4 linked regions of the Notamacropus eugenii genome follow. The protein of the gene in region 1 interacts with the protein of each later gene in a pairwise test. Links are inferred from orthologs where the notes say so. Each region holds a gene or a part of one and is shown in the gene's direction. Other genes may lie near its edges.

Region 1 (7,420 bases):
TCACTTTAAACTGAACTATAACTCTTAATTTCAATCTCTCTCTGTGTCTCTGTCTCTCTGTCTCTATCTCTCTGTCTCTGTCTCTGTCTCTCTCTTTCTCTCTCTCCCACTCCAAGCTCAGATCCCAGGCACATTCTCCAGCCTCAGGTTTTGTCATTGTTGGGTGGGGTTTTTGGTTGTTTTTGTTGTTTTTATATCCTGAGGATAAGTGGGCACCCCTGAGCTGGTCATCTCTAGACTTTGTGGCAGCCTTGTGAGTTCAAGTCATCAGCAAATCTTGGACCCCTCAGTGGTTACTGACTAGCCAAAAGAGGAATTTCTTGCATTGGAGAGGATGATCCTTGACAAGAAGGGAATCCTGAGCCCTGACATGATTGTCCAAAATCTTTTGGAGTTGCCAGATCCATCCATTGTGGTAGGTCCTGACTTCATACACACAGGTGGAACAGCTAAATGCAATGACACCCTGGCCCACTTGGACCCAGCACAAGAGGGCAGAGTCTTAGCTGCACCCATAGTACTTCTGCCAAGCACAGGACAGCAGTCTTTTTTAAAAATTAATTTTTATTTTTTCTTCAATTACATGTAAAAGCAATTTTAAACATTTTTTTTAAATTTTGAGTTCCAAATTCTGTCCCTCTTTCTTCTCCCCTCCCTGAGACAATAAGCAATCTGATATAAGTTATATATGTGCAAATAAGTAAAACATATTTCTATATTAGTCATTTTATGGAAGAAAACTTGAACCAAAAAAAAAAAAAGAAAGAAAGAAAAAGGGAAAGAAAGATAGTATGCTGTGGTCTGTATTCACATTCCATCAGTTCTTTCTCTGGAGATGGATAGGATTTTTCATTATGAGTTCTTTGGAATTGCCTGTGTTGCCAATATAATGGATCATTATATTGCTGAGAAAAGCTAAATTATTCATGGTTGATCATTGTACAATATTGCTGTTACTGTGTATAGCTTTCTCCTTCTTCTGCTCACTTCACTCTGGATCAGTTCATATAAATCTTCCCAGATTTTTCTGAAACCATCCTGCTCATCATTTCTTATAAAACAATAGTATGCCATCACAATTATATACCACAGCATTTTCGGCCATTCCCCCATTGACGAGCATTGCCTCAATTTCCAAATCTTTGCCCCCACAAAAAGAGCTACTAGAAATATTTTTGGACATGTAGGTCCTTTTGGAGAGCAGAGTCTAAGCAGTGCCCACAACACTCCTGCAAAGCACAAGGGGGCAGCCACACTGCTGCAACCATCTGTATAAGAGGACAGAATCAGGTTCCAATAGTGACCACACATGGTGCTCAGGTCTTCAGAAACACTCTAACAATGGCAGTTGTTCTATCCTGACACATAGGGTAACAATTGACCTTGACAGAGGCAGGGATGCAGGCCTTAGTGGTAATAGCAGGGGAGATGGGGGTTGGAGGTAGGGAGACAGTGAGTAGGGATATGGACCTCAATGGCAGGAGACAGTTGAGGAAATAGCTTCCAGTGGCAGACCAGGGGCAGAAGAGGGAACACCAGCTTGTGCAGTGACAAAAAGCAGGCCCATTGTAATCCATTGATTCGTATAATGTACAATTGATGGGCCTCTCCACAAGACTTCCAATACAACAAGCAGGGATCATTGAACAATTCCTCCCCAGGGAGGACCAAAAGGTGGCATTGTTGGGAAGATGTTTGCTTTGTGGCAACAAGGAGTGATGGAAACATCTAACCAGTCCCCACAGATGAAGGGAGGGCATTCTCTCAGAAGCCTCTCGTTGAACAAAGAGATGTGCGCTCTCCCTCCCTTTACTTCCCCCCTCCTTGATTCCATGGGGTTTCCTGGAAGGGGAAGGCCCTGGCTGGTGAGCCAGTGAAACTAAGCAGGTGGCAGTCTGGGGCAATTCTCTCTGCTCCTTCATAGTGACCAGGCAGGAAGTGTCATCATCTATGCTGTAGCCTTAATGTCCCTGGTGCTGTTTCTAGTAATGGTCACTTTTTTTACGTTGAGACCCACTGTGAACTGCAGAAATTTGGCATCACCTACCTTATGGACCTAAATATTTAGACTTAAGATTTGACCCTTTCTGAAACTTTGGTCTCTTTGTTTTGGGTTTTGCCATATATATGTCTTAGTTTTTCTTTTTCTCTTTTTCCTTTCCTGACTATATTTTATACTTTTGAATATCAGGCATTTGGGTTGACCAATAATAGTCCTAAAGTCATTCAATTGGTAGAAGTTCCACAAGAAGACCCTAAGGACTCTACTATCAAGCAATAGATGAACCCATTTTTTCCCTTAAAATATATTGAGATCATCCTTGAGATTTGTGATTGGTTCAACCCAGACTGTTGATACCATGGCCTGAGGGAGCCAGGACATGGTACAAAATAGGCAGAGGTAGCTCCCAGAATCCTCTTGGATGCCTGGCTGGTGGATCATAAAGGGCAACTTAAGCAAGGGAATTTCTCTCAGCTGAATAACCTGAGGTGGCCTCAGTACCTATCCTTGTCACATAGCCTTCTACTTTGACCAAAGTGAATGTCCTTTTGTTAATTGTTCAACTACAAATGCCTTGTTTTATTTCAATTCTGAATCTACCTTATCAGTGGATTGATCTGAGTTCAACCTACTCTGCTCTTGCTTTTCTCTCTCACAACTTTCCCAACTTGGGATTCTAAGATTTTGGATGTGTAGAAAAGTGGGAAAGCAGACTGAAGGAATATTCATTCTTTCTGGTATCCACTATTGCCAAAGGGGATAAAGAAAGAGGAAACAGACTTACTTTGCAGCAAGAGAGAATTAGGTCATATACGTCAGGTACTATTAGAACTAGAATGGGAGATGAGTATATTTGCTCTTGAAGAATATGATGACAGACCCCAGCTGTAAGTCTAAAAGCAGAAGTACTTCCTAGGGTGAGTTAGGAGTTAAGAAAGGTAAGGAGATTGGGAGGCCAGGCAGGATCTTGGGTTTGAAACCTGGAGTCAGTAAAGAACAAAATCTAAGAACAAAAATTCTTTCTGGCCATAATCATAGAATCATAAAAAGGAGCAGGGTTGGGGGCAGTGCACAAATTGGAGTAGAACATTGAGGTGGAACAGAGAGACACTTCTCTTCTCCCTCAATCAAAGTTTCTTGGAGGACAGAAGTACCAGGCAATCAGTGAGCTAGGGGAAAAAATGGGGGAAGAGAATGAAGTTTCTGGGTGAGCGAGAAGGCAGGAAGGTGGTGGGTAGATGGGAACAAGGGTAATGTGAAAGCTGTTTAGAGAGAAGGTTGTGGTGTCATGGAAGGAGTGTGGGGAGGCGGAGAGTTGGGGAGGAAGTCAGGTTTGTGCTTTAATTTCCTCACATCCCTGGGTGAGGGAGACTATGATCAGCTGGCTGGGGCCCATGTGACAGGAAGGGCCCAAGTGGCTCTGTGCCCAGTTTATGGCCTTACTCAGAGCTGGCAGATGGCACGGGGAGGCACACTCTGGCAGTGGAAGGGTTAATGCCAGTCCCCATCTGGACAGTTGGCCCTGCCTTCCATTGGGGATGCTGGGGGTGTGGGTGGGTGGGGGAGTCAGAGAAGCTGGTATCTAGGCTGGCACCCTCTGCAGATATCCCAACACGTAACTAGCTCAAGAATGACCATGACCTCCCCCACCCCCGTGTTTCTCTGGCTTCCTCCTGCAAACTGCAGGGACTTGGATCTAGTGCTATCCTTCATCCAGAGACCAACAAACAGATCCGGCTTCTGCGTTTCCTTGGGACAGACAGGTAGGGAGAGATCAGATAGAAAGATGTAATATACGAAAGGGTATCAGGTCTCCTGGTCAAGGTTCAGAGGCCGAGAGATGCTCAAGGTCAGGTGGTAGAGATTAGAGGAGCTAGAGATACCAACTCAGAGACTGGAGATCACAGATCGTCCCCGGGTTAGGATGTGGGTTGTGGCCATTAGGCTCCTCCCCTCTTCTGCCCTCTCCCCATCCCCCTCTTCGCCCCCCCCCCCCCCCACTCCCCCTTTCCCGGGCCGGGTGAATTGGCTACGTAGCTTTCCAGTCTTTTCAAGGGCCCTCTCCATGCTCGGCCCTGGGCCTCCCTTCTTCCCTAACACCCAAACCCTGCACCCCTCCTCGGATTGGACCCTAGCCTGTCGGAGGGCGGGTCCTGGGGGCCCTTACGTCATCGAGGGAGGAAAGAGGTGGAGCGGGGACCGGGAGGGTTGGGGGTGGGGAGGGGGAGAACAGGGCGCAGGCAGGCTCAGCACCACGGAGAGCTCCCTCCCCGGACCTTGTTTTGCTGCGGAGCTTCAGTCACTTGGGGAGAGAGGGGGTGGGGTGCCGGGGGCTCTCAGTGTGGAATCAGGGGGATGGCTAGGGAGGGGAAGGGGGATTGGGGCCGGCTGAGAGCCCAGCCCTGAGCCGGTAGGGCTGCCAGGGAACGGGGTAAAGGTAGGGGCGGAGGGCCTGGGAAGCAGGGAGGCGGGGGACAGCGGAGGCAACACACAACTGGATGGAATCCAGCTGCGTGCAGTCCACCATGGCTCTGGGACTGTCCTCTAAGAAAGCGTCTTCTCGAAACGTGGCCGTGGAGCGGAGGAATCTGATCACCGTTTGCAGGTGAGGAAAGGCGAGGGGAGGGTGGTTGCTAGGGCCTAAGGGGAGAAAATTAGACCATGCAGGGACAAGATAAATGGAAAGAGCTGGGGTGGAGAGAACTGGCGGTGGGGGGTGGGGGAGAGCAAGGCTGTTCTATTCTGGGATTTATTCTGAGTACAGGCTGGGCTCCTAGGATCGGGGCAGTTGTGGACATAAAGCATTCGACCGAAAGCAAAATACTTGAAGTAAATACCAAGCTTGCTTACTGGTCAGCCAAAGTGAGGAAGGAAATGGAAGAGGCCTGTCCCTCACCCTTTTAGATGTTTTCCAGGGTCGGTGCCCAGCTTGGGGACAAAGGGAGATTCCTCATTTGGCGTTAAAGCTTCCTGTAAAGACAAGAAAGTGCCATTATAGCTGGAGAGAACTGGAGGGGGAGGGATGGGAAGAGTTGGCACCCTGGGGAGGGTGGGTATAAGGAACAGTTACATACTAAGAGTGTCAGCCTGATGGATGGTGCCTATCACACCCTCAGCACAATCCTTCCCCTCCTACATGACTTCCTTTCACTTCAAGAACAGAGAAAGAGGGAGACACTTTTCCTTGCTGGCCTAGACATCTCAAGCAGACTCATCTGTGGTGGGAGCATGGACTTGCAAACTCTCCTCACTAACATCCCAGGATATGAACAGTGCCCCATCATCCTTGTTCACATATTCTACAGTCTGGGCTGATTGCTTTGAATGATAGGGGAAACTGGGCACCTAAATCTTTTCAAGTCCTGAAGGATGTCAAAGGGCACCAGTAAGAACTGTCTGCCTGTGAGACCCAAGCCTAGGGTGGAAGGAAGGTTAGAGTATGCCCATTCTCAGATCATGAGGGTCTCTCTCAATCCATTTCATGCTAGGAGGAGGAAAGAACATGTTGGTAATTTTGAAAAAAGTATTTCTTCCCAAGATACTGTGGTTTTGAATGTCGGAGGCCTAAGTGTGGAGGTGGGAGGTGGGTGAGGGGGAGAGAGAATGGAGAGGGGAATGAGGCTGATTAAATTGGAGGAGACCTAGAGACCTAAGAGTCATAGGGGAAGTGCTGCTACTGGTCTGAAGGGATGTTACCTCCTCTCAGAGCTTCCCTTCTTGCCCTAGTGTCCAGGGAATGCCCCCTGCACAGGCCTAGCATTTTGGTGACTCAAATACTTCTGACTCCATGCCCAAAATAAACCCTGCCACCAGCACCAATTTCACACTTTGGGAAACAGAAAAGGCTTAGAAGTGAGCCACCTTCTCCATCCTCACATCCTACCCCAGTTTCCCTCCTTAGATCTCTTCTTATCTGTTTTCCCATCACACTTATGCCTGCAAGAAGCCTCAAGATACCATTCTGGAGAAGAAAGCATATCTGAGGAGAGATGTGGCTCCCCTAAGGCAAATCTACTGCCATGTCCAGGAGTCAAGGCTATCCCCTGCCACACACACTATTGACATCTTTCTAAATACAGGCCTTGGTTAGAATTGGAATCTATGGTGACCAGCTAACTGGGCTTCAGTCTCTGTTGACATTGTCCTGGGGCCTTGACATTTATGCAAATTCACTCATGAGCCCCAAAGTACAGGCCCCTGTCCCCCCAGTCCAAATACTTTCTGCCTCTCTAAATGTGCTTGTCCCTATACCCCATGGTCTTCTCATCCACCTCCTAGGTTCCCTTCTCATTCCCTTTCCTCTTACCTGTCATGTGACTATCCACTTTTAGCTTCATCTTTTCCCCTTCTCTACATCTCAAAATCTGTCTTCATGATCCCCCATTCTCTCTTACTTAGCTCTAGTCTCTAATGAAGAGGTAGACGTTCTCCTTGCTAAGACCAAAACCTGTTTTGGATTCCGTTATCTTCCAGAAAAAACTTACGATCTCAATCATCCCCTCTCTCTCATCTTCCATTTCTCTATCCACTAGCTGCCTCTTTGCCACCTGCAGACATATCCACATCTCCTCTTTTGCATCCCTCCAAATGACTGTCTTTTCATTTCAAAGCCAAACTCCTAGAAAGGCTTGTCTGCATTCAAGCTTTTATGTCCTCACCTCTTCCTTGCTTCCTTCCAGTCTGTCTTCTGCTCCCACCACTCTCCCAAAGGTTGTCCTTGATCTAACACTCCTGTGAGACCTTGGACAGGTTACTTAACCTCTCTGGGTCTCTGTAAAATCAAGGTGGGGGGAGAGCTCACATTAGGTGACCACTAAGCTCCCTTTTGGTTCTACATCTATGATCCTATAATCTCAACTACTAAATCCCATACTTGGCCTCTCTGGAGTCTTTGACACTGTCCACCACCCCCTTCTCTTGACTACTCTCCTCTCCCTGGGCTTCCATGATGCTCTTCTCTCTTGGTTCTCCTCCTACTTGTCTGACTATTTTTTTTCTTTGCTGGATCATTCTATAGCTCCCACTAAATGTGGGCATCCCCCAAGGCTATATTTGAGTTCTCTTCTCTCAGTAAAACCTCTCAGTGATTTCATTGGCTCCCATGGGTTCAATTACCATTTCTACAGATGACTCAGAAATCTAGGTATCCAGAGCTAATCTCCCTCTTGAACACCAGTTCCTTATTGCTACCTGGACTTCTTCAGCTGATTGTCTCATAGGTGTCTCAAACTCAACATATAGAAAACAGCTCAATTTCTATTCCCCCCTCCCCAAACCCATCCTCCTTCAAACTTCCCAGTTTCTGCTGAGGGCATCACCACTCTTTCCACTTACCCATTTTTGAGTTATCCTTTATTCTTGCCTTTTCATCACGGCCCCCACCCACTATATCCAATCAGTTGCCAAGGCTTGTAAGTT
Region 2 (7,480 bases), on another chromosome or scaffold:
AACCAGGCACCGAAAAGAGAGAGACAGATGGAAGTAATGGAAAGGAAGGTCCTGGGGGCGGAGCAGGAGACACCTCCCTACAAGTTGGAATTTGAGCTCCGGGGTCATTTTGATCAATCCACTCATTTTACAAATGGGGAAACCAAGGCCCACAGACAGAAGTGATTTGCCCAATATCGTATATTGGGTGAATAGCCAGAATTTGAATCCCTAGTCCTCTGATTGCAAATTCAGTGCCATTTCTCCACACTGATGCCCTCAGAACGTCACCAAGGAGCTTGTCCACAGACAGTCAGTTGGAAAGGGACCTCAGCACATTGATTGGGATGTATCAGGGTCAAATAGAAGAACACACATAAGCTTGGGTTTTGAGGAGAACTTGATCTGGGCTGTTGGGAGAGGTCTGAGCCCAAAATAAAGGGAACTCTGGGGTTAGGAGTGCACCTTACACAATCTGTTGTTTTTTGAGGGGGTGTTTTCTGTGCTATTTGTCCTAGAACAACATGCTATAGTCTGGCAGACTTCATGCATCTTTGTGGTCTTGGGTTCTTGAGCATATGTCGGTTGGAACCCTCACTCTTTCTGATCCTCCCTAACCTGAAAGGTCCCACAGGCTGAGGGTTGGGCTTTCATGTATGTGTCTCTTAGCTGACACACCACATCAGCCTGGCTAGTTTCAAGAGGATTAAAACCGGGTTGGCTGGGGCACCTCCTGAAGATCTGGCCTGTTACTGGCAGTACATTCTGGGGGTGCTTAAAAAGCACAAATCATGAAGTTGTCTCCCAAGGCCCATCTTAGAGGAATCCAAATTGCAAGCACCTGTAAGGGCACCTGCCTATGACAGTATTATAAAAATGAAAAATGAAAAAGAGCTGAAATAAATTCAGGAATGCAATTATTCAATTCACATATATTTGGTGCTTACTCTATGACATTCACTGTATGCACACAAGAAATAGCACAGAACTCCGTCGTCAGAGTATTTCCCTTTTTGAGTCACTGCAGTATTTGATAGACTATTTTTTTCCCTTAAATTCTAAATAAGTTGGAGTTTACAGATGTATTATTGTATTCTCTAGAATCATTTCCTCTCAAGTGGAATGGACTCCAAGAGATCTCTGGACTCAGCAGAACTCTGGGTTCGAATCCTGACCCTTACTCTATGATCAGGGAAAAGTCACAACCTCTGGGTTTCAGTTTCCTTATCTGTAAACTGAGGAAGATGATGAATTATCACTTGTTAGCCATGTCAGGGATATTGTGAGGCTTGGAGGAGACAGAAAGCATCTCAGTCACCTCACCATCCTTATAATGGACATTGGGTTTTCTGTTGCTAAAAATATAGTTCATAATAATTTTCCAAATAGGTAGCTTACCTTAGGCAAATCACTTCCTCTATCTAAGCCTTGGTTTCCTCATATGTAAAATGAGGGGTTTAAACCTTAGACGGCCTCCAAGATCCAACTGTGGAGGTCAGTCTAGGGTCCTATGAAAGCTCCTGTATTTGAAAACTTCATGTATTCGATTCAGCAAGTATTGAGTGTTTACTGCGTGCAGTCCAGACAACGAGCATTTATTATTCCTTTGTAACTTCCATGTTTTATTTTATTTTTATTTAAAAGCACGATTCTGAGAAGAAGGGATCTGCAAACATCAGACCACCAAAAGGGTCCAGGACAAACAAAAGTTAAGATGGTGCTTACTGTGTGCTAGGCACTTAGGTTTCTAATTGATAAATTTCATTTAGAATAAATTCATTTAGAATAAATTCACTGTTAGAGCTCCCTCCCCAAAACTTCCCTCCCCCAAAAAAAGGACAACTCACAAAGACAATGAAAGCAACCTAGAAGTTTCTGTCTGCGTCTCTGCAATCTCATACTGGTGGTTTGCCCTTTGTCAAGGGAAAACAAAACAATGCGAGTGTTCACTCTAAATGATCAATTGGTACCATTGACCTCCGTCATCAGTGACTGAAGCTTTGCTGACCTTGATGGAACTGTAGGAAGGCATGTGTGACCCTTCTAGCTCTGTCTGCCCATGATCTCCTATTTAAGTCTCATATCTGTCCAGATTCTAGCCATTTCTTATTTCTTACAGGTATGGATGCAGATTCCAAACCTTTTCTGTTTCTTGAGAAATATTAAGATTTCTCTGGTCCACACACTCTTTCCAGACTTGTCTCTAGGATGTACTGGACTTTCTTTATCCTTGATAAGTCTCAGTTTCCCCATCTATAAAATAATACTGCCAACCCCCCCCCCCTTCTCCTACACACACACACACACACAGTAGTTGTGAGGCTCAAATGTAAAGGTGTATGTAAACATGCTTTTTTAAAAAAATTAAAAATTTTCTGGTTACATGTAAAAAATTTTTAACATTCATTTTTAAAAGTTTGAGTTCCAAATTCTCTCCCTTCCTCCCTCCCCACCCCCTCATTGACAAGGCAAGCATCTTGGTATAAGTTATACATATGTAGTCATGTAAAACAGTAAAGGTGCGTCTTTAAGTTAATGTATATTCATCCTGGAAGCTTGCTCCACCATCAGAAATGACCCTCTGATCCTTTGGCCTTTCTCTGACTGGATGCTTCCCCCAAAGCCTCTATGGATCTCATAAACAGAACCAAGAGAACAGTTATTTTTGCTTCAATGTTTTCATAACCAGCCTCCGATACTTACTAGCTGTGTGACTGAGCAAATCACATAACTTCAGTTTCCTCATTTATAAAATGGGGATAATAAACATCACCTATCTTATAGGGTTATTGTGAAGATCGAATGAGATAACATTTGTAAAACACTTAACACAGCTCTAGATAACTAAATGCATATCCCCTTCCCTACGAAGGATTGTGCAATTTGGAGGAGATGAGGTCCTTTCGATAGGATTGTGACACAAAAGTAAAAGGCATTACAATATTTTTTAAAGTGCAGTGTTGATTAATTTTGTCTATATCCTTGTAATTTCTAGTTGTAACAATGAGAGGAAGGATATAAACAACTAGGGACTTGTTAATTTCCTAATGTTTCCACAGCGGAGGGAGCACCTCACGCAGCCCTGCAGCCCACTTACTCACCTCCCCTGTAGCAATGAGTTTTCCCATCTTTGGCAATTCCACTTAACGTTGGGCAGTGCATGGAGCTACCCCTTCCAGGACTTTTCACTGTAGATACCAAGAGCTCCTATTTACATCTATCATCTCACTGGAATTTCAGGCACAGAGGATTGACAGGGTCAGACCTGGGCTTTAAGGCAGCTGTGGGGAGGACAGACGGGAGAGGGGAGGGGACAATGTCCAGAGTGGGATCCACGGGAGACTGGCCAACTGTGGGGCTGGGATGAGGGGACAGAGCTCAGGAAGAATCCAGGCATTTTTGAGCCTGGGTGACTGAAAGGGACGAGTTAGAAGAGGTCCAAGGCTGTGTATGTAGCACCGGCTTAACTTTAGTTCGTCCTGGACCCTTTTGGTGGTCTGGTGATGTCTGCGGATCCCTGCTTCGCAGCATCGTGTTTTTAAATACGTATAAAATAAAACACATAGGTTACAAAGGAAGCCAATTATATTGAAATAGTTACCCAAACGGACCTTAGTAGAGTTGAGAACTCCCGATCTAACCGGCCCTTCGCTGTGGGGCGCTGCCCTCAGTGCCCGACAGGCTGCATCTGCTGAGTCAGGCGCTTTCTTGTAGGGGAAGCCTTGGACCTGGAGTCAGGGAGATCTGAGTTCGAATTTTGCCTCATCACCTACCAGCTATGTGAGCCTGAGCGACTTTCACCTGCCTTCTACCTGGGTATACTCAGCTGTCACGGGGATCCTGGTGGCGCCTCCCTCCCGGGTCCTTGGGGGGAGGTTCTGCCTGTACGTGGCTGCTTTTATTAGTCTGAACTCCCTGAGGGGTGGGGGCACGGCCATTCTTTGTGCCACCAGCCCTGGCACAGTGCTGGGGAGAGGGCAAGGCTGCCGACTTTCCTAGCACCGCTGAGGCACGTGCTATTTTTATGCCCAATGTGCGGAAGAGGGCACAGAGGCTGGGAGGGTGTGACCAGCCCTGGGGGCCGAGGCTGGCTTCGGGGCAGCACTTGGACATCCGGCCCTCCAGGCAGGGTGACCGGGCACGTCTCCGATCTCACCCCGACAAAGGCCTCGGCTCCAAGCGTTCCCCAGCTCGGTGCGCCACGAGGATGGAGCGCCCGGACCGTGACAGACAAGCTGCCGTCGTGGGGCATTCTGGGAGACGGGAGAGGGAGGAGGGAGAGCGGTAGGCGGAGGCGCCGCAATGCGCGCTGGGTAGCGTACCCCCTTCCCCCCGCGCCGAATTCTCAGCCCGTGAGTCACAGAGAGAGGCCCGAGTGACGCGCGCCGCAGCCAATCGCGGCTCGCAGCGGCGGCGGGGGCCGAGCAGCGGCGGCCAATGGAGTCCTCGGAGGCGGGCGGGCGCAGGGAGGCGCCGCCGGGCGGGGGCCAGAAGCTCGAAGAAGATTCAAGATGGCGGCGGCGGCGGCAGCTGCGGGAGCCCCGGCTGTGGCGGCGGCCGCGGCAGGCTCGGGGGCCGGCGGGGCTGCGTCGGCGGCCGGCTCGGGCTCGGGTTCGGGCGGCGGGGCCGGCGGAGCGGCGGCGGCGGGCTCGGGCGGCTCGGGGCCGGGCGTGCTGATCGGGGACCGGCTGTACTCGGGTGTGCTCATCACGCTGGAGAACTGCCTGCTGCCCGACGACAAGCTGCGGTTCACGCCGTCCATGTCGAGCGGCCTGGACCCCGACACCGAGACCGGCCTGCGCGTCGTGGGCTGCGAGCTCATCCAGGCGGCCGGCATCTTGCTGCGCCTGCCGCAGGTCCGTACGGGGCCCGGCCGGCCGGGGCTGGGGGGAGGGGAGGCCGAGGGAGCCGGAGGGGAAGGGGGGAAGGCCGGGAGCCTGAGGTAACGGCCGCCGCGCCCGGCCGCTAGTGCGCAGGCGCGAGCACGGCCCGGGGGGGAGGGGCGTGGGGGAGGGGAGGGAGGCGGCCCGGCCTGGTCCTTTGTTCCCGGAGCCGCCTGGGACAAAGCCGGGCGTGGGGGCCGAGGGAGGCCGCTCCTCCCCCGAGCGCCGTGGGGGGGCTGGGGGGGGGGGTTCTTCGGGAAAGCCCAAATGGGGCGGTGGCTTCTTTACGCCGGGGAGAGGGCGTACAGCGGACCCGAACCTCAGTTTCCCATTTGTGAAATGTATATTTGGCCCCAGATTGTGGACTTGAGTGGCCTAACTCTTTGGGAAACTCAGTTTTCTACTGTGTAAAACGAATGGTTCGGCCTCTGGAGGCTTCCTAATATGAACCTGTATCATCTTCAAAAAAGAAAAAGAAAAAAAAAAAAATTCTCTGCCTCAGTTTCCCCTTGTGTAAAAATAACAACTCGGTTTCCATATCGTCGTAAGAGGTCCCTTCCAGCTCAGAAATTCATGTTCCTGTGATTCTGTTATCATGTAACATTTCAGAGCTTGTTCTCTCTCGATGACCTGAAGGCTCTAGAATTCTGAACCTAGAACACCAGAAACAGCTCCCTTCCCCCCACAATAGAGGGGACCCCTTAATGACGGCACTGAGAAACTTGACCCCAGACTCTAAGAAAAAGAGTTGAAAAAGGAGGGAGGATTTTTTCAGGAGGGCTCCCTTCAAGCCCACTCCAAATAAAAAAGACAGCTAATGGGGGGAACTGGGTGAAGGGGGGGCCAAGTGGGCAGGTTGTAGTTACTTCTTAGGAGAGAGACTGCTTTTTAATAAATGCGATACAAATGTGATAGCTTCTTAGGGGAGGCCCTGGAGGTAGACTAAAGAGTTTTGTATTCTACTGGCTGAATTTATCTTTTAACACCTGGAGAAAAATCTTTCATTTTGGAAGCAATCACAACAAACAAACCATCTTATTGTGGTTAGGTTGAGATTCTGGGAAGTATTGGTAGAGGGAGGGCTCTTTAACCAGGAGAAAGAGGGGTGTTGCCTGTGTAGATGACTTCCTGGCCTGCCCTGCCTGAGATAGGAAAGCAAAACTAAAAACAGTCCCTACTCTTGAATAATAATGGGTTTTCCCCTGTATTGTGCAAGGGGACAGAAGGGTTGCTCAAGTGTCTTCCTCCTTTGCCACCTCCCCCCTCCCAACGTGTTGATCTCCTTTCCTCACCCCAGCTCCTGTGTTGCTGGATTTAGTTGGCAGGACCTCTTACCCTTTGGCCCTTGAAAATATGATTTAGTGTGTGGGAAAGCACCTGAGGCATCTCCAGCCAAGTCTTATTTAATGCTTAAGAAGGACATCCATGGTGGAGTGGAGGATTGTTTCTTTGTTTACATGTTTTGAGGTGGACTCTTTTTCTTGGTTTTAAGGCAACTGTTGTTTTCTGATGTGGGGAAGTATGGGTGGATCATTAACCATGGGCTGGAAAAGCTTTGTTTTGTTTTCTAACATCTTGAATACAGTGAGACCCAATATCTTTTTTTTCTCTCAAATTGAGATGATTCTGGCACATCCTGAACAGTACTTTTAAAAACATAATACTGAATTCTTTTCACTTTCTAGGTGGCCATGGCTACAGGGCAGGTGTTATTTCAGCGGTTCTTTTATACCAAATCCTTTGTGAAGCATTCCATGGAAGTAAGTAGAACTTTTTCCCTTTTCTTCATTTCCGTTTCAAGCTAAATGCCTAAGATTTTAATATGTAAAGCTTAATTAACAACATATTTACTCTTTCTCCTAATTACGAAAACAAGGTATCCTCAGTAGATTAAGTATTTTTGCTTCATTATGTTTGATAAGCCATGTAGGTTGTAAAGCGCTGCTTATCTTACAGGTTGTTCTGTTACTTGTATTTACCTGCCATTTTCTCTTACTAGCCCTCCTTAAGCTGATGGAGGCGATCACAGTTCCAGATTTGAGCAAAACATCAGTATGTTGCAATACTTATATTTCAGCATGTGTCAATGGCCTGTGTTCATCTGGCCTCCAAAATAGAAGAAGCTCCAAGACGGATAAGGGACGTAATTAATGTGTTTCATCGACTTCGGCATTTGAGGGAGAAAAAGTAAGTATTGGTATTTTTTTGAGTATACAAAAGAATCCTAGTTTTATTAGGATCATAAGGGACTTTGAGTTGTCATCTGGGTACTTCTGTCCCAATCTGTTTATTTTTTACTCATGCAGAAATGTAGGCCCCCCAGAGATTAAGGGGTTTGCACAAGGTCACACTGGTCATATGTGATAGTGTGGGGATTTGAACCCAGATAAGATACTTTGACTCTGCTGAGCAACAATTAATGAGTCTGGGTTGTTATTGTTTCAACTAATCTATATCTGTTGATTTTCTTTTCCTTTATCATCTCCTTTGGCTTTCAGTGAACTCTACCTTTTGACTAGTTGAAAAGTAGCCTAATGTTCTTAGCTAAGTACTTTGTAATCTCTAGGTGGATGAAAGCCCTTTTCAGAATGTAATAATTTCATTTATTGATTTAGATT
Region 3 (6,834 bases), on another chromosome or scaffold:
ATCCAACCATTCTGGAGAGCAATTTGGAACTATGCCCAAAGGGCTACAAAAATGTGCATACCCTTTGACCCAGCAATATCGCTACTAGGACTATATCCCCAAGAGATCATAAAAATGGGAAAGGGTCCCACATGTACAAAAATATTTATAGCAGCACTCTATGTAGTTGCCAAAAACTGGAAGTCAAGGGGATGTCCATCAATTGGGGAATGGCTGAATAAATTATGGTATATGAATGTAATGGAGTACTATTGTGCCATAAGAAATGATGAACAAGAAGACTTCAGAGAGGCCTGGAAGGACTTATATGACCTGATGCTGAGTGAAAGGAGCAGAACCAGGAGAACTTTATGCACAGCAACGACCACAGTGTGTGAGAGTTTTTTCTGGTAGACTTAGATTTTTGTAATAACACAAGAACTTCTTACAAAAAAAAAAAAAATCCCAATGGTGGTTCTCAAGGCAAAATGCCTTCCACACTCAGAGAGAGAAATATGGAAGTCATTCACATAATGTAACAGATCATGTTTGTGTATGTGTATGTGTTTGTGTATCATGTTCTGATTTGTTATACGATTTCTTTCATTTATCTTAGTCTGACTACATAGCATGACTGTAGTGAAAATATACTCAATAGGAAAGTATATGTAGAATCTATACAGAATTGTATGCAGTCGTGGGGAGGGAGTGGGGGGTAGGTGGGGGGGATAAAATCACAATTGTATGGCAGTGATTGTTAAACATAAAAAAATTAAAAAAAAAAAAAGAAACTCCTTTTAAAATTTGCAATATAAGTAGATCTCTAACTACCAGCCCCATCATTTACCCTCACCTATTGCAATGTGGAAGGCTATATATAGGATTTGCCTTTCTCTTATATTCACTTTTTTTAATTTTTTAAAAAATTGAGTGACTGATCTTCAGCAAGTCAGAACCTTCAAAAAGAAGGTTCTTGGGGAAAAGAGAGTTGAATTAAGTGAAAACAGAAAGCTTAAGGAGCTTCTAAATAAATACATTAGCTTTACATTATGAATCAATACTGGTACAAAGTTCCATAAAATTAGGTATTTATATTTAATAGTTCCTTCAATCAGAACACCCTTGCCCAAAGTAGCTCAGTAATGAGCGTCTAAATTTCCAGAATTGCCAATCATTTTTGGATATGTATATATTAAGTTGGGGTGAGAGTTCTCTTAAAGTAAGTCATAAATTTGTGGGTTATGTGGTTATGGTTGCAGCCTATAGCATATACCCCCTAGTTCTCTGGTATTTCAAAGATATTTTTGCCTCAAACTAGCTGCGTCCTTCAGCAAATCTCCTGATCTTTGTGGATCTTACAGACCTCATCTATTGAATAAAGGATTTAGTCTTCAAGCCTTTTGAGAATTACCAAGAAAGGATTCTTTTGCAGGTATGGCTTGAGTTCCCATTAGGCGTTCTGTGAGAAGTGATACCTTTTGTATCTGCCTCCAGAATCAAATAGCACGGCTTAGAACCTTTGCTGTGAAATTTACTACCTATGACCTTGGGCATTTAACTGGGCTCCTCTGCCCTAAATTGTCACATCTGTAAAATGCGGGAGTTAGACTAGATCCTTTCTATGGTTCCATCCAAATCTAAATTCTATAAATGTGCAGCAGATTGTGGAATGATTTGCAATGGCTTTTATTTTTAAAGGGAAACACGTCTTTTCACACCATTTTCTCTAACCTCTTATCACCATGATGACTCTAGGAGGGGGACTATACAGAAATAGAATAGAAAGAAAGTAACATTTAATGATTACTTTGTAACAGTGCAATCTGTGATTTCCCTGGTTGGTATGGCTACTTCCTCCATCAATCAGTCCACAAACATTTATTAAGCATGTGCTATGATCCAGGCACAGGACAAGGCGATACCTAAAGGTCTTACTAAATGGTGCTCCAGAACTGCTGTGGCCAACAAATTCCTCACAATACAGCTAACTTAATGCTGATTCCCCGCCCTGTGCTTCTTATAACGGACCTCAAAAAACAAGCAATACATAACTGTGCCGGTACTCAAAGCCTTTCCGTGGGACAGGATTTTGACCCAGCCTTCAAGGTCAGCTTCCTAAGGGGAGGAGGCGATAGAAGAATTTAGTGGTAGATTTAATAGGGGAGTAAAATTATGTAACTTGTTTTCCCAAGAAATGGTAAGCGGTAGTTCACGAAACAAATTCAAGAAGTGTTCATCAATGCATACCAGAACTGCACCAAGCTAGGGATGCTTGAAACAGCCTGGTGAAAGGAGACTGAACTTGGGGATCAGAAGAACTGGGTGTGAATCCTGACTCGGGCGCTGCCCGGCTCTCAGACTGCACGATGTGTTCGGTCACACGGGAGCCCTCCGTAATGGACTGCAGGAGCACAAAGGAGGGAGGGTGAGCCCCGCTGAGGAAGCCTCGGGCTTTTCTCTCCTACTCCCTGCCCGCCAGCAGGGCTCTCACCTTGGGGAAAGGACCGCTTTCTGCGATCTCTGGCCTCAACAGCTAACAATACATCGTTTACGCCCAGTCCCATCCAGGGAAGGCTTTTTCGCAGAGTTCCATGAATCTTGCTCCTTCTGCCAGAATAGGTCACAGTGACTTTTCCTTCCCTGACCACCGCCCCAAAGCCCACGCCCGACCACAGCATCAGGGGAACACAACTGCTGGGCTGCCGATGGAAGCTCTTCTCGGATTGGTCGAGGACACACCTCCGTCACACCCCAGCTCCATCCAGGACTGGCTAGTCCCAAGCTTCCAGTCAGCCTCTAGCGCTGAAGGGTTGACTGTCTCCGGGAGATGGTGTCGTCACGTGGTACTCGACAGCCCTCCGGTTGGTAGCAAGCGGCACCACGTGACGCCGAGACTTGCGCTGATTGGCTGGTGCGGATTCAGGTTTCGACGAGATGCCGTTCAAACCGGCTGTTGCTAAGAGGCATGCTCAGTTTAGCTAGGAGTACCTGGATAATCCGATTCTCCGGGCTTTAGCGACTCCCGACCCTAGGGGCGGGGGAAAAACAGGGGGTGAAGCCCTTGATAAGCATCGCGGGCGATTAAGAGGACGGGATGTGGCGGGAGCAAAGTGGCCAAGCCTGGGGGCGGGCGTGACCTTTGGCTTTCCCCTCTGCAGCAGCTGGCGGAGGCGCCTCTTCCCCAGCTGTGGGACGCGAGTGATGGGCACGCGCCGCCGCAGTATCCCATGTTTAAAAACAAGCATACAGACACGGCTGGAGAGCTCCCGAGGGGGAGGGAAGTGGGGTTCCCGCTGCCCGGGAGGCGCTTCCCCCCCATCCCGCTCGTTTTCTAGGACAAACACTAAAACCTGGCCGAGCAGACGCCACACGTTTCCACCGGTCCCGGCTTACGTTGCGGGTGCGGGACTGCGGAGCGGGGCCGAGGAGGGTTGGCTGGTGCTCGGGTCGGAAGCTCCGGCGCTCCACAGGCTGCCCGGAGCGGGCGCCCCGGGGTTGCCTAGGTGACGGAGGAAGGAGGGCGGAGCTAGCGCCCGTCCGGGCGCCGGCCCCGCCCCGCCCCGCCCCGCCCCGCCCCCGGCAGCACTGCAGCTCGGGAGCTCGCGCGCCGCCCGCCGCCGGGCCGCCGGGGAGGAAGCGGCAGAGGAAGGAGGGCGGGGAGCGGCGACGGCGGCGGCACCGGCCCTGCGGCCCGGACACGGCTCCTGCTTCCGCCCCTCGCTTCGCCCCCGGCGGCGTCCGCGGGGCCGCCCGTCCGCCGAGCGCGGTCCATGCCCAGGGCCGCCGCTAGCGCCGCTGCTGCTGCCGCTGCCGCCGCCCAGGGGGCTGCCGCGGCCGCGAGGCGGTGGTGGGGGCGGCGGCAGCGGCGGCGGCAGCAGCAGCCGCCCGAGGAGCGTTCGGGGGCCCCGGCTCGGCGGGCGTAAGTCTATGTCGGCGGCCGAGGCGGCGGCGGCGGCGGGGGACGATGCGCGAGTACAAAGTGGTGGTGCTGGGCTCGGGCGGGGTGGGCAAGTCCGCCCTCACCGTGCAGTTTGTGACCGGCACCTTCATCGAGAAATACGACCCCACCATCGAGGACTTCTACCGCAAGGAGATTGAGGTGGACTCGTCCCCGTCCGTGCTGGAGATCCTGGACACGGCGGGCACCGAGCAGTTCGCCTCCATGCGGGACCTGTACATCAAGAACGGCCAGGGCTTCATCCTGGTCTACAGCCTGGTCAACCAGCAGAGCTTCCAGGACATCAAGCCCATGCGGGACCAGATCATCCGAGTCAAGCGGTAAGGTGCGGGGAGCCGGGCGGTGAAGGGGGAGGGGGGTCCTGCGGTCCGAGTGCGGGTCGGAAATGGGGAGGGGAGGGGCGGCCCCCCGCTGAGAGAGGAGCCCGGGGAGGGGTGGCCCCCGCTGAGAGAGGAGCCCGGGGAGGGGTGGCCCCCGCTGAGAGAGGAGCCCGGGGAGGGGTGGCCGCGGGCGCTCGCCGAGAACCGAGTGTGTGTGTCTGTGTGCGTGTCTGTGTGCGGTGTGTCTGTCTGTGTCTGTGTCTGTCTGCGTGCGGTGCGCGCGCGCCCGCTTGTCGTGGGCTGGGGGAGGCTTTCAAGTTTGCCTGGCGCTTTGTTTCGCCCACTACGATTGTCGCCAGCCCTGTGAGCGATGGAGCTGGCACGGAGTCCGAAAGGGAGACCCAAGTTGAAAGACTTTCCGAAGGGAAGAGGGGAGGGTGCGGGGGAAGAAGAGTTGCGTTTTGTTTTTTGTTTTCAGGCTCGGGATTTGGGTAAAGAATAGGCAACTCCTTTGGCCGTGTTTCACGGCAGGATACCGCAGGCTTGTTAGGGGAAAGGGCAGAGCCTTGAAGCTGCTTTCCCTCTGGCCATTTCGCTTTTATAGTGTTCCGGATGAATAGCGAATTCTGGACCGGGTGAGGGTACGGTGGCTTTGTGCAGGCCCCGCGGGTGTACCAGTATACAGCCTGAATTAGCGTGTGGGCACGTAAAAAAGGTGAGAGAACCCGAAGAGATGGAGGGGACTGCTTCTATTAAACTTACAAACAAGATTTTTCTTTCCCGAATCCTTAGCAAAAAAGCAAATTCATTTTTCTAAGACTTGCAAGGGAAGTTTCAGTACCAGTTTGTTTTCCTGAAATGGGGATTATCTCCTTTCATTTTGCTTTGATCTTTGTAGAGTAGGTGCTTAATAAATGGCTAGTTGGCTGACTTTTATCCCCGATACTCTTCTCGGTGCCTAGCATATAGTAGGTGCTTAATAAATGCTTGGTGAATTGATTTGAATTCCTTTTTATTTCTTCTTTATTGTGGGCCATTTCAGGCAGTTTGAAAAACCTCTGCTGTAAGATATTCTAACATACTTAATGATCTCAATGGCAAACTTGCTCATTAAACAAAAGTTTGTGTCGTTACAATATCTGCCACTTTATTTTTGGCATCTGCAGTCAATTCATTTCTTCTGATTCTTATCAGTCATTAAGATTCTTGAATCTTAAGATTTGCTGATAAATGTGTTGATGTACAATCTGTAACTTGGTTATAACTTGGTAGCTTGGTCACTAATTTTCCTTTTTATTTACCGTGCCAACTAGTTCAACCTAATATCCCCCCAGCCCCCTATAGCCCGTATGGATATACTCAGAGACACCATCTATTTTAAAGAAAGTAATAAATCTGTCTATTTTATCCTCTGTTGAGTTCTGTAACTACTTTGAATGGGCCAAAGCCAAGTGTCCTCTATTCAGTGAGTGCTCAGAGATGTCAAATGAAAATGAGATTATCTTTAATGCAATTTGTGAGAGTACTAAAGTAAAAGTAGTTTTTTTTTTCAGGAACATACTTAGTATACTCAGTGGCTGGATTAAAATTTTTAAATTTCTTAAAGAATAACAAACTAAAAACCAAATTGTCTTTTCAGTTTCATTCATAACTGCAAGATTTGATTCTGATTGTTTTTTCCCCCTTTCTTCCTCTTCCTTATTCTTTATCTTTCAGATGATCACTTCGCTTCTTGTGGAGGCTATATCATTAATTTCTGTGGTATACTTTAGTGTTAGTTTGTATAATCTGTAAGGATTCACATTGTTAAAACACAGGACAATGGCTTAAACTAGTTTCGAGAACAAGGTTTTCTGATGAAATTGCCTGTATTTATGTAGTGACTTGATATTCCCAAGTCATTCATTCAATGAACTTTTCTTATTATCCCCCAATCTAGTAGCTAACTGCCTAGTATACAGGAGCATTGGTTGAACCTGACCACAGATAATTTACCTTGTAGACCTTGCAGAGGGGAAATGACATATACACAAATAACTCATGAAAAGTAATAAATAATAATGCAAGAGGGGTACACACATTGGCTTGTGAAAGCAGAGCCTGGGTAAGGTCTTTATTAAGGGGTAGAATCAGGACGGGATTTAAGGGGGAAATGGCCTGTAAGAATTCAGTAAGGTAGGCCAAGGCTGTAGGGGAAGGAAATTCTAGCCTTGGGAAAAACTGAGCAAAGTCATGGAAGTGGGAAAGTGCAAAAACGGGTATATTTGAGTGGAGAACAGGAAATTCAAAGTTGGCAGAAACAAAATATATGAAGAAGAGTAAGTTGTATAAAATGAATCTGGGAAGGTAGAATGATAATAGACCATGGAAGAAGAACCAAGGAGTTTCACTTTACTGTTTAGGTAACAGAAGCCATTAAAGGTCTTTGAGCGAAAAAAGGCCTCTGATCAGCAGGCCTAGATGTCACAAAGTCAACACATTAGGCCTTCAACTTAATCAAAAAAAGCCCTTAGACCTTCACTCACAGCTTATTTACTTCTATTTTTAAGTTGTAATGTTAGTAAGTTTTCATTATCT
Region 4 (7,318 bases), on another chromosome or scaffold:
ACCGTAGTTTTGCCAGGTGCTGTAAACTTCCCCTTCCCCAACAATATGACACATCTTATAGTTTAGAGAAAGGAACCCCAAAATATGGTTCTCCACCTTCAAAATCTGTGAAGTGGTGGTTTCTGAAGCTTTATTTTTATTTTCTTACATCCTTGAAGTTTGGCTAAGCACCTTTTTGAATACAGCTATAGCTGATCATAGAGGCAGCATGGTGAAGGAGATATGAGTTTGAATCCTGCCTCAGATACTTATTAGGTAATGGTAGACAAATGAAATAATCACTTGGTACCTCAATACCCCCTCCCATTAAATGGAGGTGTGAGCATCTTTCTTACAGGGTTATTGTGAGAATCATATGTGAAAGCACTAGACAAGCCCTAAAGTGTTACGTGGTTATCAGCTATTATGAATTTATGAAAGAATCTATACCAATCATTTTTACCAACTGGAACACCTTGAACCTAAATGCTGGGTCCTAACCCTGGGTGCTCCCAAGAACTTGAGTAGGATGTAGATTTCCTGGAGGATTATATCAGGTAGGCAATCAATCCCAACTTAGTAAGAACCAGGAACAGTGCTCACTGCTGGACTGTCTCCAGAGGAGTCTGCTGGGAGAGAAAGTGAACTGGATTTGGAAACAACTTTGCTTTTTGCCAGTGGTAATACCTGGACATGGCACTGCTTGCCCTGACACATGTCTTTTTTCCTCATTTGTAATATGGGGGGGGAGGGGTGTACATAAGAGGATCTCTAAAGTTTATTTTGTTTTGAGTTTTAAGCCTATGATCCTAAGAGCTCCTTCTTTATCTGACTGGGGTTGTTGTCTGCCTGGTACCTCTTGGCACCTCTTGGTACCTCCCTGCTCCCTCATAGTATAAGCCCATAGGCTACTTCCAAGTCACGCTGCTTCATGGGATGCAAGGGACAGGGACAGTCCTAAGACGGTGCCTACTAGGTGGCATTAGAGAGCTCTTTATGAAAATTCTTCGAGATTTAAAAAGGACATAATTGTAAAATAACAAAGTCATAAAATACACATATGTATATTTAGATATATCATACACATATGCAAAAAGTATGCAATGTGGGAAAGCTTCCTGTTTTTTTTCTTCAATATTTCCTGGCTATAGAGGAAGGATTAATACCTGTTACCTCAGTTATAGCCAGAGAAGCCTTTAACTCTAGAGTCAAATGACCTTGGACTTCAACCACGGTTCATTAACTGTGTGACCTCGGGTAAGTCATTTATCTCCTTGTACCTCATTTCCTCATCTCTAAAATGAAGCTTTTGGACTAGATGAACTCCAAGGCCTTTTCCAGCTCTAAATTCAGCATCCGGTGACCTGTTTCAAAGAATATGACAAGTCAGCGTCTGGTTTAACCAAATGCAAAGCAGGGCCTTCCACAGGGTGTGGTGGGGGCCACACCCTCCTCACCTTTAGGCGAGTCCCGGAGAAGGCTGCAGCCTGCAGCCGTCCCAGACTCGGAGCTATCTGAATAGTTTCCTCCAAGAATTTCAGTTGCATTACAACAGCAACAAAGTTGCCTCTTGCTCTTGAAAAAGTTTGGGATTTGGGGCTTCGGCCGTCCTCGATCACTAGGCATCTTCCGTCTAATCCTGGGTGGAAGGGGGAAACACAATTCGGTCTGAGTCTCGTACTAAACCCAAAGCCTCCTGAAGGAGCGACCCCAGCGGACCCCTCTTTATGGGCCAGCCGAGCTCTTTCTCACGGCTCCCAAGCACCCCTGACCCATCCACTCCTCCCTCGCCCACCTCCTCGTCTGATCCTAAAATCTGAAGACAGGTCTTGACATCTCTCCTCCTCGAGAAATAAGGGAGGGTCGGGACAAGCCGAGGCAGCTCCCCGTTACCTCCCAAAGAGCATGAGGGAGCCAACAATCCCACCCCTAACCAGAGAGACTTGGAGGCAGGTCTGGGCACTTCTCCCTCTCCTCCCTAGGACTGGCTTCTTGGCCGAGCCTTTCCCTACTCCCCGCCCCCCTTTCCTTCGGGGGCAGGACTAGGTGTGGTGTTAGCTTCTCCCTTCCCAGGCCAGAGCGAGGATTCTCCGCTGGCACCCTCCCCCGAGCCCGCTGCAGCCGGGAGAAGGGATTGGCAAGCTGTGCCCACCCTAGCTCAGCCTAAAGAGATACGGACCCTGGGGTCTCTAGGCTCAGCACCTCTAGGTCTACTGCAGCCTGTTCGACTTTGTTCTCCCCAAACAGCTGCTTTGGGGGGGGTGGGCAGGGAGAAGCAGGGGGAGGGGAAGGGAAGGGACGGGAGACACCGCTGAGAAACAGCTGGGCCTCCGCCTCTTCACTTAGTCTCTATTGATAACCAATCACAAATGGGGGATACTTTTCAGCCAATGAGGCCCTGGAGCCTGACACAACCTCGGCGACAGCCAATGCCAGGCTACCTGGGGGCTGCGGGGAGAGGAGGATTGCACCCGTCGACCAATGGGCCCCGAGTTTGGGAGAGGAGGTAATTTGAGAGCCAGGGTGGGTGTGTCCAGTGAAACCTTCCTACTTCTAACTCCCGCCCCCCCACCAGCTGCCGCTCGTACTGAGCATGCTCAACTCTCTCCTATCTCCTGCCCGCCTCATAGAACAGTTCTGACGGGCTTAGCCAGATTGGCCGGGTTTTCCACACAGCCTAGAAAAGTCTGGAGGGAGGGACCCAGGATCCTGCAGGATCCTCGCACCCCAAGTTCTGCAGTTGGTCCCGGCTGGAAAGAGAAGGTCGGGGGCCCCGTGGGCGACCTCCAAGGACCAAGGAACCAGCATCAACCGCAGAGATCCCGCCTTGGCTGGCTGCGGTCCGGGTCCCTGGCTCGAACGCCTCCCCCTCCCCCCCCGCCAACCCCAGTGGTCCGGCAAGGGTCAGTGGCGTGGGCCGGCAGAGGTTGACGGGTTTGGGACCCAGAAGTAGATGTACTCTCTGTATGCGGCCAGACCACATCATGCTACTCTCCGCACGTCTCCCCATTTCCATCACTAAGCATTCTGCCTCCCCATTGCAAAATCAGAACACTCGGGGTTCCAAGCTACCTGGAACCTTAGGGTTGCAAGCACAGTTTGTTTAGCTTCCTTAGGGGAATGGGGGGTGGCGGTGAAGGAGGAGCAGAGCACTCTGGGGCTCGAAGTCTGGGGAGCACCTCCTGCGATCCAACAAACTGGCACCACTAAACTGGCAAAGAGCCTCTATCCCCGGTCGGGAATGATAAGTAAAGATAACGGCCCTACCTAAACTCTCAAGGATTTCTGGCCCAACCTCACTGTACAGTGGAAGATACAGAGGTCAAGAGAGGCAAACTGACTTGAGAGCTGTAGTAAGCATCTAAGAGAGAATTAAACACCGGTCCTCCATTCTTCGTCCTTGTGCCACGCAGTCCAGGTTCCTACCCCATTTTAGGGAGATGGAAGCCGAAGTACAGAAAGAAGAAAGAACTTAGGGTAGCAACTGGCCAAGCCGGGGTCAGAGCCCATGTCCTCCAAATTCCAGTTCAGCCTTCTTTCCAATGCTGAGCGCTTGGCCAGTTTTTAAGCTCTCCAAACTAGCCACGATTAAGGGTTAGTATAGCAATCAACAAAGATTTTTTAAACGACTCCTATGTGCCAGTTGGGGGCTGCAAGGTCAGAAAAATAAAACAAGTAACCGCTCTCAGGGAGCTAATATCCTAGGGAGAAGACAAGGTGTACTTTCAAAAAAGTCGCTACAGAAGAACACAGGTGATATTTGAGAAGGGAACACTGGTAGAAGCTGGGGCATCAAGATACATACAATATATGTGGAGTGCCCCCGCGTCAACACTCTGCTTGGGGAGCACAAAGCCAGAGAATGGCACCCGCGCCTCTGCCTGCTCCCAAAGGGGATCTCCTGGATTCAGCAACGAATGGTTTTCCCCGGAAGGCATCCCAGAATACACAAATGGGGAGGAGGGCACCCAGGAGCCCCGTTTCCCCCCAATAAAACCGCCTTCCAGTGCGTCCCCCCGTCACTTGTCAGTCATCCCTCCATCTGCCTGCCCGGTGTTGTGGGTATCTGGATGCAGGACCCCCTTCATGCCCTCTTGCTAGGAGGGCATACAAATAATAGATCTTATCCTGGAATTGTTTTTCCCAAGGCTGGTGCGCTCATCTCTGGCACCCAGTCCACCTCAACTCCAGCTCAGGGGACCCAGTCCCAACACGAGCCCACAGCTTTCTTGGCTCCGCCCCTGCCCCGGCCCTCTAGGAAAACCCGGAAAAGCGGAATCCTCCCCCCGGCAGCCTCGCCACGACTCAGCGCCCCCTCACTGGGCATGCTCACTAAGGCAGGGCAGGTTTGGGGCTGTAAGTAGGAAGCTGGAGCACTCCCAGGGCTGCTGGGGAGGGAGGTACGGACCGTGGGGCTGTTGGAGGAAGGAGGCAGGCACCACGGGGACTCATGCACCACGCGCTCGGGGCTGGGGCGCAATTAGCAGCCGCCTCCGCAGCCTGCACCCGTCCTTGCCTCTGCTGCCACCGCCGCCAGTGCCAGAGCCTCTGCCACCCCTCCTCCCAACGCTGCTGCCGCGGGTGAGGAGCAGCCCCAGCTACCGCCGCCGCCGCCACAACCGCAGCAGTAGCAGCAGCAGCCCCAGCCCCGGCCCCGGCCGTAGTCCGTGCCCGGCCGATCGCCCGCTCCTTCGCCAGCCCGGGCATTGTCCCTGCGCCTGCCGCCGCCGCCGGCCGCTTGCTACCAGTGCCCCAGCCGCCGCCGCCTGAATGCAGGGCACGGAGCCCGAGTGAAGCCTCGCCGGGGTGGGCGACCACCCCCCACCCGCAGCTCTTTGCTTTCTCTCTCCCTATTCTCTCCTCCCCCGCTGGGTACTAGGAGAGAGCACCCGGCAGGAGCCGAGCTAAGCTTTGCGCAGGTCCCACTCCTTCCCCCTCTGCCCCCACGCCCCCCGGGGGGCCCAGGCCGGAGGGAGGCCGAGAGCGGGAGAGACTCTCGGGGAGGGGGGGGGGGGTAAGAAGCCATGCGAGAGTACAAAGTAGTGGTGCTGGGCTCGGGCGGAGTGGGCAAGTCGGCCCTCACCGTGCAGTTCGTGACGGGCTCCTTCATCGAGAAGTACGACCCCACCATCGAGGACTTCTACCGCAAGGAGATCGAAGTGGACTCGTCGCCGTCGGTGCTGGAGATCCTGGACACGGCGGGCACGGAGCAGTTCGCGTCCATGCGGGATCTGTATATCAAAAACGGCCAGGGCTTTATCCTCGTCTACAGCCTGGTCAACCAGCAGAGTTTCCAGGATATCAAGCCTATGCGCGACCAGATCATCCGCGTCAAGAGGTACGAACGGGTGCCCATGATCCTGGTGGGCAACAAGGTGGACCTGGAGGGCGAGCGCGAGGTCTCGTTTGGGGAGGGCAAGGCCCTGGCCGAGGAATGGAGCTGCCCCTTCCTCGAGACGTCGGCCAAAAATAAAGCCTCGGTGGACGAGTTGTTCGCGGAGATTGTCCGCCAGATGAACTATGCGGCTCAGCCCAACGGGGACGACCAGTGCTGCTCCTCCTGCGTGATTCTCTGAAAACAAGGGGTGGGTGGGGGAGCTTCTTCCTTCGGGCTTGTGCTTTGGTTTGAATTTTTATTGGTTTCTTTTTTTTTTTTTTAAAGAAAAAAGCGAAAGCAAAATACAATACTTCTTTCTCAATGTGATTTTTTTAATTATTATTTTAAGATTGGAAACAACTTTGCAGCGTACAAGGTGTGTTCCAGGTGGGGGCTCATGGCTATTTCAACTGCAGCTGACGAGCCCCAGTGCTCAGTGTCATGGGGGTGGGGGGAGTTGTCTTGTATTTAACATCTGAACCTGGGTGGAAATGTGGCGCTTTCAAAGCATGTACATTCCTCTCGTGGATTTCTTTGATAGTTGCCTGTTTTCCCACTTAAAGCAGCCGTTAGAGAGCTGTATTGGCAACTTGACACCAGGCAAAAAAAAAAAAAGTTTTAATCTGGAGGGAAGGGATGGGAGCTGGAGGAGGATGGGAGAGAAAAAGGCTTGTCAACAACCACTTTCCAAATGGAAGATTTAAGTACCTAGACCGGGGAAGGAAGTGCAGGAAAAGCCTGTGAAGAAATGAAAGGAGAGGAAGAAACCCCGTTTCCAGGCATGTGTGTATGTGTGTGTGCTGGAAGTGAGGGTTAACTGCCTTCCCTGGCAGCCTGGAAGTGCAACCCTGGGACTGATTACAATTCTGAGGATTTCTATGCAAAGTTGGATTATTGTTACAGTGTATCCAATCTGAAATATTGCACAACTGAACTTGGACTGTTTACACTGGTGCCAATGCAGTGTGGAGTGCCAGAAAGTGTCTGCTGATATTTGTGGAAAAAAAAAAAATCTATTTTGTTTACCTACTGTATCAAATGGGAGTCTGGGGGAGAGCGGGAGTGTTTTTTTTTTTTTTATCAGCTGTGAAAAATTACAAATCTGCACATTTTTTTGGTGGGGTGCTTTGTTAATTTTGTTTTGTTTGGGTTTAGGGTTTCCTTTTGGTTGGCAATAACTGATTTTGATGACCAGATCTTTAAAGTACAGTACAAAGACTTCCTCAAATGTGATTCAGGGGCAACAGCGACCCTGTGTCTAGAGTGCCTTCAAAACTCAGCTGTTCCAGCCGTGCCAACCTGTGAAAGTTCCACAAAATCCCATTATCTGCTATGACTCCCCAAAGTACTTAACAGTTTCCTCTCAGTAATCATACCCAACAAGCCGAGACAAAATGGCCTGTTGTTCATGGAATTTCTTTTGATTTCTTTTGGAGCCTTTTACATGTAATTTCCATGTTTTGCAAGTACTCCTGGCTTCACGTAATTTAAATTTTCAGGTATTTAGTGCCCTTTTCCTTCCCTCCCTGGTTTTTTTTTTTTTACCTGTCTTAGGATATTCCTCCAGCCAAGAGCAAAGTTTTAATGTTGTGATGTACCAAGCAGATTCTAACTAATTGTAATTTTAATTCCAGACATGCGTTTAATGGTTGTCTCTTCATCTAAAGACTTTTAATACAAATACCATTTTTAAAAAAATGCAAACCCCAGAGGCCTGTTTGTGTTTTTGTTTGGTCTGGTTTCATCCATTGTATGAAGTCATACACTGTCAAGCCTGATATGGAAAGAGTCATGACTTAAGTCATAACTGAATCTGAAAGTGTTTTTATCCGGGTCTGAATGGATAGATGCAAGTACTTTGGTGGAGAAGTGGGTGGGGTTCATAGGATCATAAATTGGTTGGAATGTTGCCTTCAATTCTTAAGACTGGGAGCAAAACCAGGATGAGAAAGTTCTGAGTTG

Evidence for each region.
Region 2: the proteins of RUNDC3A (region 1) and CCNL2 interact in binary tests that used the Homo sapiens proteins (3 or more experiments, as listed by UniProt). The two-hybrid records come from large-scale screens. The link is inferred for Notamacropus eugenii from reciprocal best matches to the Homo sapiens genes RUNDC3A and CCNL2.
Region 3: the proteins of RUNDC3A (region 1) and RAP2A interact in binary tests that used the Homo sapiens proteins (3 or more experiments, as listed by UniProt). The link is inferred for Notamacropus eugenii from reciprocal best matches to the Homo sapiens genes RUNDC3A and RAP2A.
Region 4: the proteins of RUNDC3A (region 1) and RAP2B interact in binary tests that used the Homo sapiens proteins (3 or more experiments, as listed by UniProt). The two-hybrid records come from large-scale screens. The link is inferred for Notamacropus eugenii from reciprocal best matches to the Homo sapiens genes RUNDC3A and RAP2B.

The regions. Positions count from the first base shown.
Region 1 is NC_092873.1:349,696,362-349,703,781, reverse strand, and holds the start of RUNDC3A (RUN domain-containing protein 3A), read left to right. Parts: upstream 1-4,417; 5' UTR 4,418-4,500; coding exon 4,501-4,607; intron 4,608-7,420. UniProt on the Homo sapiens protein: May act as an effector of RAP2A in neuronal cells.
Region 2 is NC_092876.1:34,943,167-34,950,646, reverse strand, and holds the start of CCNL2 (cyclin-L2), read left to right. Parts: upstream 1-4,475; 5' UTR 4,476-4,490; coding exon 4,491-4,835; intron 4,836-6,547; coding exon 6,548-6,622; intron 6,623-6,861; exon of another isoform or gene 6,862-6,939; coding exon 6,940-7,049; intron 7,050-7,480. UniProt on the Homo sapiens protein: Involved in pre-mRNA splicing. May induce cell death, possibly by acting on the transcription and RNA processing of apoptosis-related factors.
Region 3 is NC_092877.1:229,395,489-229,402,322, reverse strand, and holds the start of RAP2A (ras-related protein Rap-2a), read left to right. Parts: upstream 1-3,823; 5' UTR 3,824-3,943; coding exon 3,944-4,257; intron 4,258-6,834. UniProt on the Homo sapiens protein: Small GTP-binding protein which cycles between a GDP-bound inactive and a GTP-bound active form. In its active form interacts with and regulates several effectors including MAP4K4, MINK1 and TNIK.
Region 4 is NC_092877.1:375,391,066-375,398,383, reverse strand, and holds RAP2B (ras-related protein Rap-2b), read left to right. Parts: upstream 1-4,302; 5' UTR 4,303-5,003; coding exon 5,004-5,555; 3' UTR 5,556-7,060; downstream 7,061-7,318. UniProt on the Homo sapiens protein: Small GTP-binding protein which cycles between a GDP-bound inactive and a GTP-bound active form. Involved in EGFR and CHRM3 signaling pathways through stimulation of PLCE1.